Schizosaccharomyces pombe: one gene and its partner. The protein of the gene in region 1 interacts with the protein of each later gene in a pairwise test. Each region holds a gene or a part of one and is shown in the gene's direction. Other genes may lie near its edges.

The links. The genes of interacting proteins can lie anywhere in the genome.
Region 2: the proteins of pth2 (region 1) and get3 interact in a two-hybrid assay, tested with the Schizosaccharomyces pombe proteins (2 studies listed by BioGRID).

Annotation. Positions count from the first base shown.
Region 1 is NC_003424.3:2,455,764-2,462,909, reverse strand, and holds pth2 (aminoacyl-tRNA hydrolase), read left to right. Parts: upstream 1-1,914; 5' UTR 1,915-1,952; coding exon 1,953-2,570; 3' UTR 2,571-2,721; downstream 2,722-7,146. Other genes in the region: mRNA-decapping complex catalytic subunit Dcp2, read left to right, coding at 1-184; U1 snRNP-associated protein Usp101, read left to right, coding at 776-1,561; trp2 (tryptophan synthase), read left to right, coding at 3,159-5,252.
Region 2 is NC_003424.3:3,634,958-3,638,890, forward strand, and holds get3 (GET complex ATPase subunit Get3), read left to right. Parts: upstream 1-2,052; 5' UTR 2,053-2,144; coding exon 2,145-3,134; 3' UTR 3,135-3,433; downstream 3,434-3,933. Other genes in the region: Cu transporter complex subunit Ctr5, read left to right, coding at 808-1,329; ESCRT III complex subunit Vps32, read right to left, coding at 3,814-3,933. UniProt on the Schizosaccharomyces pombe protein: ATPase required for the post-translational delivery of tail-anchored (TA) proteins to the endoplasmic reticulum. Recognizes and selectively binds the transmembrane domain of TA proteins in the cytosol.

The DNA of each region.
Region 1 (7,146 bases):
GAATTCGGAAACCAACAAAAACCATGTTGATATGAGTCCTGGTTTCGTTAAGATTTTAAAACGTTCGCCTTTGGCAGATCAAAAAAAGGAAGATACCCAGGAATCCGATTTCAAAGGGTCTGATGATCATTTTCTGTCATATTTACAATCTGTCGTGTCTTCTAACTCCAATGGTCTTCATTAATTTGTTATTCTAATTGGCATTGCATTAGAAACTAATGAACGACTGTGTAATACACATATGGTATTCTCTTCTAAAGTTATTCCTTTAATGTTTATTTTTCGTTTTACATTCAAATTGTTAATGAATATCAAGACTACTGACTTTAAATGAGACTTAGATGTTAATGTTGAACACTGAGTTAATCTAGTGGCTCTTTTCATTTTTTTCTATCACTTTTTGTTGAGAATAACGGTCTACTCAATGTTCTGTTGTTGTCGTTTTAATCATGCATGAATTCAACGTTGAAATAAGGATTTCCCTAACTTTTATTAGCTGGTGAGGCTTTTCGTCCTTTAAAATTATGAGGTTTCCTTTTGATGCAGCCCATGCGTGTACTAGGTTTATTCATAGGGTAAATACATATTTGCTTCCCTTTTATGTCAAATAAATATGACTATATAATTTGCTTACATATTTTAATAATAAGCGAAAAAATTGTACTGTACGCCCCCACATAGCACTTATTATACAGGCAATATCGCTTTACTGGGATATACCCTACACAGCATTGCACCCACACACTTCTAAATAAAAAAAAACAATTCATATAGAATGGCTGAAAAATTACCGGCTCCTCTACTTGCATTGTTTGCTCCACGTCCCCCATTGAGGTATCTGCCTCCTATGGATGTGCCTCCTGAGAAACGTTCAACACCTCGCGTTTCAGGCATAGCAAAATATCTGAAATATGCGCAGTCTCACGATCAACAATATCACCCGACTGAAAGCTTGGAAGAAAAGCGTTTGCGTCTTAGAGACGAGAAACAAAAACAGCAACGAGAAAGATTACGGTCCATGATTAAGGTATGGGATCCTGATCACGATCGCCATGTCATTGGAGATCCATATAAAACTATGTTTCTTTCTCGGTTAAGCTATGATACCAAGGAAAGCGATATTGAACGAGAATTTACTCGATATGGGCCTATCGAGCGCATACGAGTTGTTCGTAATAAAGTTACAGGAAAATCAATGGGATATGCATTTGTTGTGTTTGAAAGGGAACGAGATTTAAAAGTTGCTTACAAAGCATCAGCTGGTTTGATGCTAAATGGAAGGCGGATAGTGGTCGATGTCGAAAGAGGTAGAACTGTAAAAGGATGGCTACCGCGTAAGTTAGGTGGTGGACTTGGCGGGCGACATTATACAAAAGAAAGGCCGCGACGGGAACGGGGATCCCGATTTCGTGGCGACTCTGGATTTCGTGGTGGCTATCGAGGAGGATTTCGAAAATCTTCTGGAGGAGGGTCAAGATTTGGTCGTGGTCCTACTCGCTCCTCTCACTCTTCAGACTATGGAGGAAGAGATAGTTCCCCTAAGCGTCGTCGCTACAATTGATGTTAGAAAGTCTCACTTCAATGTTAACGCTAAACATAATTTTTTGTATACTCTTGATTACTCATTCTTTCTTCGAGTTATCATGTTAAAATGGAGAAGCGCATAGAAGATTGGAGACGCCTAAATTTAAATAAGTACCATGAGTTGGCTTCTGGTCAGTCAAACTTTTCAAACACATATATGAGATATCCTTCTTCGTTCTTTTAATGAAATTTAATATTAATTTCTCTGAATGCATCATTATTAATTTTGTGAAACAAATTAATAGTTTTGAGAGGAGTATGTTGCGCTTCACTACATCAATTTAATGATGTTGCCGGTATATATTATGTTTCTTAGCTCTTAAGTTTCGCACACATAATTATTTTGACATTATAATTTCATAGTAGTTATGAAAGTACCTTTCGTAAATTTCATGATCTCCTCCTTTCCTGCAGCAGTACTTGTCGGCGCTGTAGTGGGGTTTATGATCGGACGCAAATACAGTGTAGCAGATGCATCAAGAGGTTATAGTTCCAAAAATGCCAACAAAGCATCTAACCCAGAAAAAGAAAGTCCTGTTTCTGTTAGCAATGATGAAGACAGCGAGTCCGAAACTGAACTTTTAGATATGCTGAAAGGAAACAGCAGTTTGGCTGCGCTTGCATTGGCGGAAGGACAAACTAAAATGGTATTGGTCGTTAGGACGGATTTAGGCATGACCAAAGGAAAAATAGCAGCTCAATGTGCGCATGCAGCCTTAGCCTGCTACAAAATCGCATCTGCGGTGGACCCCGATTTGGTACGTATATGGGAAAATGCTGGACAGGCTAAAATTACTCTTCAAGCTCAAACCGAAGAGACGTTGGAATTACTGCAAGCCCAAGCAATGTCTCTAGGGCTATGTGCCAGGGTTATACACGATGCTGGTCGCACCCAGATTGCATCTGGTTCTGCTACAGTCTTGGGCATTGGTCCTGGGCCTGTCAGCGTAATCAATGAGGTTACAGGATCTTTAAAATTATTCTGAGAAATCTAAAAAATGTACCAAAAGGTGATATTTAATGCAACAAAATATGACAAACTTTTTTGATGGATTGCTATGTAACGCCAATACTCTTATTTTTCGACAGGCGAATTGTCTGTGCAATCAGCTTCCGTTCTGTAAAAACTGTATATATTTCTAATAACAATGAAAGTCAGCAACCCCAATTCTCATTTACTTACATTTGATTAATCTAGACATTGATGTCTCAGGTTGATTCCGTTCATTCATAACAAAATTTAGTATCAACTAGGCATATACTTTTATATTAGTAGTAAACAGCTTACATTCAAGTGAAGTTAATGGTGAAGTCGAAATTTAACTTTTTAGTTTAACATCCATCCACCTGAAGGTAATTTGCCCATGAACTTACGAAATTTGGTTCAATCTGCACCACAATTGCAGGCCTTAACGATTTTATAATGTTTTGAAACTTAATTTAGTTATCTATAAAATTATTTGACTTATCAATATGGTCATCTTCGTTTGAAATCTTAACGATCTATTCTGTCGGTCCCTCCAATCTCTGTTCCACCGCCAATATTTTTTTGACTATCGCAAAACTCATGAAAAATGACAGAGCAGATTAAAAAAACGTTTCTCAAAGCAAAAGAAGAAAACAAAAATGTTTTAGTGACATTTGTCACTTGCGGTTTTCCTAATGTTGATGAAACTATCAAAATTATGCAAGGTTTGCAAAATGGAGGAGCAGGAATAATTGAGCTTGGTATTCCTTTTTCTGATGCCGTCGCTGATGGTCCTACAATTTGCAAGGGAAACGAAATTGCTTTGAAGAATAATATTACTTTAGAAAAAGTATTTGAAACTGTAAAGCTCGCTCGTGATGCAGGTGTAACTATCCCTATAATTTTGATGGGTTACTACAATCCTATTTTCAGTTATGGAGATGCCAAAACTATTCAAAAGGCAAAGGAGGTTGGCGCTAATGGTTTCATCATCGTTGACCTTCCTCCAGAGGAGGCTGTCGGCTTTAGAGAAGAATGTAAAAAGCAAGGTGTTAGTTTCGTTCCTCTTGTTGCTCCTTCTACTACGGACAGGCGTATGGAGCTCTTGGCCTCTGTGGCTGACTCCTTTATTTACGTTGTTTCTCGTATGGGTAGTACAGGATCATCTGCTACCGGAGTAATCAATACTGCTTTGCCTCAGCTCTGTCAGCGTGTTCGTAAATTTGCTGGAGATACCCCTCTAGCAGTTGGTTTTGGTGTTAACACCAGTGAACATTTCCACCAAGTTGGCAGCGTGTCAGATGGTGTTGTAGTTGGAAGCAAAATTATCGATTTGATTTTGAAGGCAGAGCCTGGCACTGCTGCTACCGTGGTTGAGGAATATTGTAAATATCTTACTAAAGAAGACCCATCCGCACCTGTACCTAAACAGTTTCAATCCGGTGGTTCTGTTGCTACTGCCCCCCCTGCTGCTGTGGTCGAACCTATCAACGAAATGTATCTTCCTCAAAAATATGGCATGTTTGGTGGTATGTATGTTCCAGAAGCATTAACCCAGTGCTTAGTTGAACTTGAAAGTGTATTTTATAAGGCTTTGCATGATGAAAAGTTTTGGGAAGAATTTCGTTCTTATTATGAGTATATGGGTCGTCCAAGTGCCCTCGATTATGCTAAGCGTTTAACTGAGTATTGTGGTGGTGCCCATATTTGGTTGAAGCGTGAAGACTTGAATCATGGTGGTTCACACAAAATTAACAACTGTATTGGGCAAATTCTTCTTGCCAAACGTTTAGGAAAAAACCGTATCATTGCTGAAACTGGTGCTGGTCAGCATGGAGTTGCTACTGCTATCTGTGCCGCTAAATTTGGTATGAAATGTACTATCTACATGGGTGCAGAAGATTGTCGTCGTCAAGCACTCAACGTTTTTCGCATCCGTCTTTTGGGAGCTGAAGTCGTTCCGGTTACTTCAGGTACACAGACCCTTCGTGATGCTGTTAACGAAGCTTTGAAGGCGTGGGTCGAACAAATAGACACCACTCATTATTTAATTGGATCTGCAATTGGCCCTCATCCATTCCCTACCATTGTTAAAACTTTCCAAAGTGTCATTGGCGAGGAAACGAAAGCGCAAATGCAAGAGAAGCGTAAAAAACTTCCTGATGCAGTTGTTGCTTGTGTTGGTGGTGGATCCAATTCGATTGGAATGTTTTCTCCCTTCAAAGCCGATAAAAGTGTAATGATGTTGGGTTGTGAAGCTGGTGGTGATGGTGTAGATACCCCCAAACATAGTGCTACATTGACTATGGGAAAAGTTGGTGTATTTCATGGAGTTCGAACATATGTTCTGCAACGCGAAGATGGACAAATTCAAGATACTCACTCTATATCTGCTGGATTGGATTATCCAGGTGTGGGACCCGAATTATCTGAACTTAAATATACCAATCGCGCAGAGTTTATCGCTGTCACTGATGCTCAATGTTTAGAAGGATTCCGCGCTCTATGTCATCTTGAAGGTATCATTCCCGCTTTGGAATCTTCTCATGCTGTGTATGGTGGAATGGAGCTTGCTAAAAAGTTACCTAAAGATAAGGATATTGTGATCACCATTTCAGGTCGTGGTGACAAGGATGTTCAAAGCGTAGCTGAACAACTTCCTATTTTAGGTCCTAAAATTGGATGGGACCTTCGCTTTTAAGCAATGTTCTACTCACGATTTTCTGATTTATATTAAGGCTCCGTAAACTTAAGCGGAGTTGCGATCTATAGATATACAAGCATCGCATGCGATTAAACTTTTTTATACCAAAACATATGTGTATTTCTTTTTATCTATAAATATCATTTCAATTTTGCTTCTACTATTTACTAGCCTTAAATAGCGTTGTAGTCATGTAATAACCTGTACATAATACTGTACTTATTTACCTAATAAAGGTTTTCTGTGGATTTAATTTCTTAGGCTAATTTTTCAAAGGCTTAAGAGAATTATGTGTATGCTGAAGAAGAACATTCAACAAAGCGGTTTTCTTTAGTCTATGATTTTGAGAATCATGTCCTATTTACACTACAATGCAAGTGCAAAAAATGTTTTAAAACAATTTATCAGCACGAGCAAGATGTCGTAGTATTTTCAATTTATATGGTTTTGGCTTTTTAGAGTCGCGACATAGTCTATTAACATAAGCTTTAATCTTTGGTATATTAGCAAATCTTCCAGATTGAAGTTAGCAGTTTATGGAGAGAAAATAAAATTCTTTCTGTATATTCGCCTAATAAGACCACTCAAGTCTTTAGCACTGAATAATAAAAAGTGTCACAAATCTTTGAACTATGGTAAAACTCCCAATTACAATTACTTAAGTTCGCACTCCTAAAACAGCATTACCCGTAGAATAAATTGAAAAAAAAGTATAAAATCAAACAAGTGGTACAGATCAAATTTTTAAAAATTTAGTAATGTTTCTATGTTTTTATATTACAATATTCAGATAGGTAGTATTCTCGCTTACAGTTTAGACAGTAAATGTAACATTAGTGTTTCTCCACAATTCCCCACATAGTTAATAGTAAAGTTGAGGACAAAATTATGATTTATCTATATATTCTATGAATTACATATGACCCTAGATGTACCCATTCGACAAAAGTATCCTTCAAATAATAGGTCTTAAAAACAAAGACTTGCTCATTAGAAGCAATCGATCGTTCATTCACTTTACTAAAGGATTTACCAATATGTATTGGGGGCGTCGTTTCTAAGGCAAGGTAGTACGTTAGAGTTCGTAATATAATTGTTCGGTTAGTTAAGTGAAGAGCGATATGTGAATTAAAACCACCACATCAACCATATAAAAACTACATTATTTATGAAACCATAAGCATTCTGTTTAATTCATTAAATTAGGACAGAAATTAATTAGGCTCTTGCAAGGATCAAATTGGAGTGAAATTGCATCTCTTTACGATATTTCAAGTTGTGTTTTATTGCATTAGATTTAGAGGAGCAATCAGCAACGATCTATTAGCAGTGAACGTTAACGAATATCTCAATTACATTCGGATCTTTAATTATTTGGTTTATTTATTTTTTTAATAACAAAAAAGGGAAAGAAAAATTGGGGAAAGAGAAGGGAATAATTATATTGTTAATTTTGCAATATTTTTTATCATTTAATTAGCAAACTTTTATTATTTAATTTTTAGGCAAATTTGACAACTCATCTCTTCATTTAGTCAATTTTTATTTGTTTTGACATTTGTGAGATATCCAGGGATCGATAGCCTCTGTCTACAAAGGGTCGTGTCTCTTAGTTTTCGTCAATCAGTTTCTTTCAAGATCTAGAAGGCGTACTAATTATTTCTACTTGGAGACTTTAAAGCTTGGGTATTGCTTGTCCACTGTGCTTATGTATCTGAACATAGCTACAATCTCTGCTACAAAAGCTAAAGAGAGAAGTCCCCTCCAAGAAGGGATCAAATTTATTTCGTTAGGGTTTTCTTCTGGTCAAACTTTTTTTTGGATAGGATAAGTTTTTAATTACAATAAATTCAGCGGCTGGGGTTTCATAAGTGCCCCATATTTCGAGGGT
Region 2 (3,933 bases), 1.2 Mb from region 1:
AATGCTCCTGTAGTGCTTTAATCAAAAGAAGAATCTTAATTGTTATTGTATTCATACAAATCTTACTTTACTTTTATATCTATTTACAACGTACGAAAATCGTATTTGAATATCAATTTAGGCAAACCTCATTTGTTTATTTTTTTTGGAGTTTCTTGTAACTCTTAATGTATACGATAACATCACCGGGATTAAAATTTACATATTCATATTCATCCAAATTCCTTTGTATGTTTGATTTAATTAATTAATTAATTTTGCTTTTTTTTTTTATTTTTATATTCTTTTCGATTAACGCGACCCGCCGCAATACCTTAATCACCATTTGGCGGGAATTTTGCTGAGCGATTATAGCTGGTAGTTTTTACCCAAAGGAGAAAAAGTCGCATATCAGTAGATGATGCTTTTAAACTGCTATAAAAGGTAATCCTACCCCCGTTCACTTTGAAGCGATATTTGAGCGTTCAGCTTAATTGAACATTCAGGACTTGAAAAAAACCTGTAGTGATCATTCTAATTCAAGTGTATAGGTAGCAGTAAGAAGTTGCTAAATTATACATTTTGTCTGTCTGCGAAAAAGGCCCAGCTCATAGAGAGATATTTCGCTTAAAGGTGGTAAAACTAGTGTTATTAACTTACTTTCAACAAAAGACATTTGTTTTCGCATTGTTCCGGTTATACTTGTTATTTTAGTTTAAGACGCTTTCCATTGAGTGTCTTCTTTTCTTTCTTTTTATCGGCTCTTATCCTTTATTGACAGATACCTAAGATACTTCTCAATATTTGGCTAACGCTTCTTGCAACAAAATGAGCTTAAGTAAGATGAGTATGAGTGGCATGAGTGGCATGGGTATGGGTAGCTCCAGTAACTCGAGTGCTGCGACATGTCGCATGAGTATGCTATGGAATTGGTATATACATGACTCGTGTTTCCTGGCTAAATCCTGGCATATCAACACTGGAAACAAATTCGCCGGTAGTATTATTGGAATTTTTTTCTTCGCCGTCGCTATTGAAGGTTTGTCCCTCGTTCAAAGAATGTTTGATCGCTGGATTGTTGCTCACTCTAATGGCAAAACTTTAAGTGGACCTCTGCGTATCTTCTTTCCAAGTTCCACTGTGCATGTTACTGTCTGGCAACAACTAATACGAGCAGCCATGTATTCATCGTTTTACTTGTCCGCTACCATCCTCATGTTGATTGTAATGTCGTTTAACGGATATGCCATTTTGTTCGGTTTCGTAGGTGCTTGGATAGGATTTTTCCTTTTCGCGAGTGATACTTATGGAACCCCATCCACTGGTACTGGATGCTGCGAATCAAGATAGTCATATTTAATTGTACAGGGGTATTCATAAGGATCCGATTTTAATGTACTATTAATACTTTTTACGATTGTTTTTGTTTGGTGTTGGGTTTCGATAGTGTGTTTTATGTTTTTCTTTGTTTGCTTATCAGGGATTATATTCAGACTTAGAAATAATAACTTTTTCTTTAATTCAGTTTAATATATCTCCTCTATCGGTATGCAAAAACTGGTAGTTTACTAAATATGTTGTTGATATGGATGCAAATTTATATGATGGTACAAAATAGTATATTCTCTGCTCAGTATGATTCAAAGTTGTTCCTTGATTTCTTGTGAGTGCTTTAGTCATCAACAAACATCTGTAGCTCTGATCCTTGATTTACGTTGAATGATTCCATGTAGTTCTTTTCTTTATAACGAATATGGTAATCGAGCTTCAGCAGGCCAAAACATATTATACGATTAGAAAATCCATTTAAAGGAATTTTTTTAATTATGAAATTTCAGCATACCGTATTTAGCATTCTACTAGCATGGCTTTACGAATCCTTGATAAAAAACTTACTTAATTGTTATATTGCTAGCGTATCAAAAATAGGAACAAAACATGCTATACACTATTAATTGTAGTTGCAATGTACAATTATTAAGTCTTTAATTAAATTTTTATCTCTGATCGTTGGGAACTGATCTGCCGCGTACTTAGGATCTTCATTTTCACTTGCAAACTGTCGTAACACCTATCCTCAGCATATCGCATCGTGCATCTGGTCAACGAGAGTCTATAAGAAGACTAGCTTCAGATTAAAAAAAAAAATTCTCTAATAAAGTAAAATGTCCTTCGACCCATTGCCTGGAACCTTAGAAAACCTTCTTGAGCAAACTTCCTTAAAATGGATTTTTGTAGGAGGAAAAGGCGGTGTAGGAAAAACAACTACGTCGTGTTCATTGGCCATTCAAATGTCAAAAGTTAGATCCTCTGTTCTACTTATCTCCACGGATCCTGCTCACAATCTTTCTGATGCCTTTGGCACGAAATTTGGAAAAGACGCTCGTAAGGTTCCTGGTTTTGATAATCTGAGTGCCATGGAGATCGATCCTAATTTATCCATTCAGGAAATGACAGAGCAAGCTGACCAACAAAATCCCAATAATCCTTTATCTGGAATGATGCAGGATTTGGCTTTTACAATACCAGGTATCGACGAGGCATTGGCATTCGCTGAAATCCTTAAGCAGATCAAATCTATGGAATTTGATTGTGTCATTTTCGATACCGCTCCTACTGGACATACGTTAAGATTTTTGAATTTTCCAACTGTTTTGGAAAAAGCTCTCGGCAAGCTTGGCGGTCTCTCCAGTAGATTTGGCCCTATGATTAACCAAATGGGTAGCATAATGGGTGTAAATGCCAATGAACAAGATCTATTTGGAAAGATGGAAAGCATGCGTGCTAATATTTCTGAAGTTAACAAGCAATTTAAGAATCCAGATCTTACTACTTTTGTGTGTGTATGTATTTCCGAGTTCCTTTCTCTTTATGAAACTGAAAGAATGATTCAAGAACTTACTAGTTATGAAATTGATACTCACAACATCGTTGTTAACCAACTTTTGCTTGATCCCAACACCACTTGTCCCCAGTGTATGGCTAGAAGAAAAATGCAACAAAAATATTTGGCGCAAATTGAAGAGCTCTATGAAGACTTTCATGTTGTCAAAGTACCGCAAGTTCCAGCTGAAGTTCGCGGTACTGAAGCTTTGAAGTCTTTCTCTGAGATGTTGGTCAAGCCTTACGTTTATCCTACTTCTGGCAAAGAATAATGTATTTTTTCAATCTTATCCACTGCTGTTAATAAGGGTGTCAAAAGCCTCTAAATGTATATTTTTTAACAAATTGATTGACAGCTTGAATATGCATATTAGAATGGCTGTTTCTAAGTTTTTACATTACTTTTATTTTGTTGAAGAATTCTTATCGTTTCCTCAGTTGAGCTTGACTATTTGCCAAAGCAAATAAACCAAAAGCGCTAGGTTGATACACTGTTTAATGATTAAACACAACAGGATTCTGAGCACACTGTTTAGATTAATATTAATCAATTTGACAAGATATGAACGTGTCTGGAATAACTCAAAACATTAAAAAGTTAACTTGAACTAACAGTCATTTGATACAGTTGTTTTAGTAGAATGAAGAAGACGTAATATGTAAAATTCTTCAGCTAGTTTTTCCGTAGATTATTTAACTACACCAATTATTAAAATACAATGAAAAAACACACATCCGAACATGAGGACGGAGACCTATAAGTTATAGTCTAATAATGGTATTGTACATAAAATTTGTATTTAGGCTTCCATGATGACTCATAACAAGGAAAACATAGAATACTAACAACTGACAAATTAAATAATTCCATAAGTTATAACAGAAACCTTAGAAGATGACTTTAACATATTGAGAAAATAATAAAAATACCGAGCAAGCGTACTGGTCACTTTAAAGAGAGAATTCAGCCTGTAGTTTTCGAAGTTCTTCTTCTTCATCCAATTCTTGAGGCTTTGAAATAGAAGGGAGGTCTTTGACTTGAGACGGGACAGCAGGAACAGCAGGAGTGTG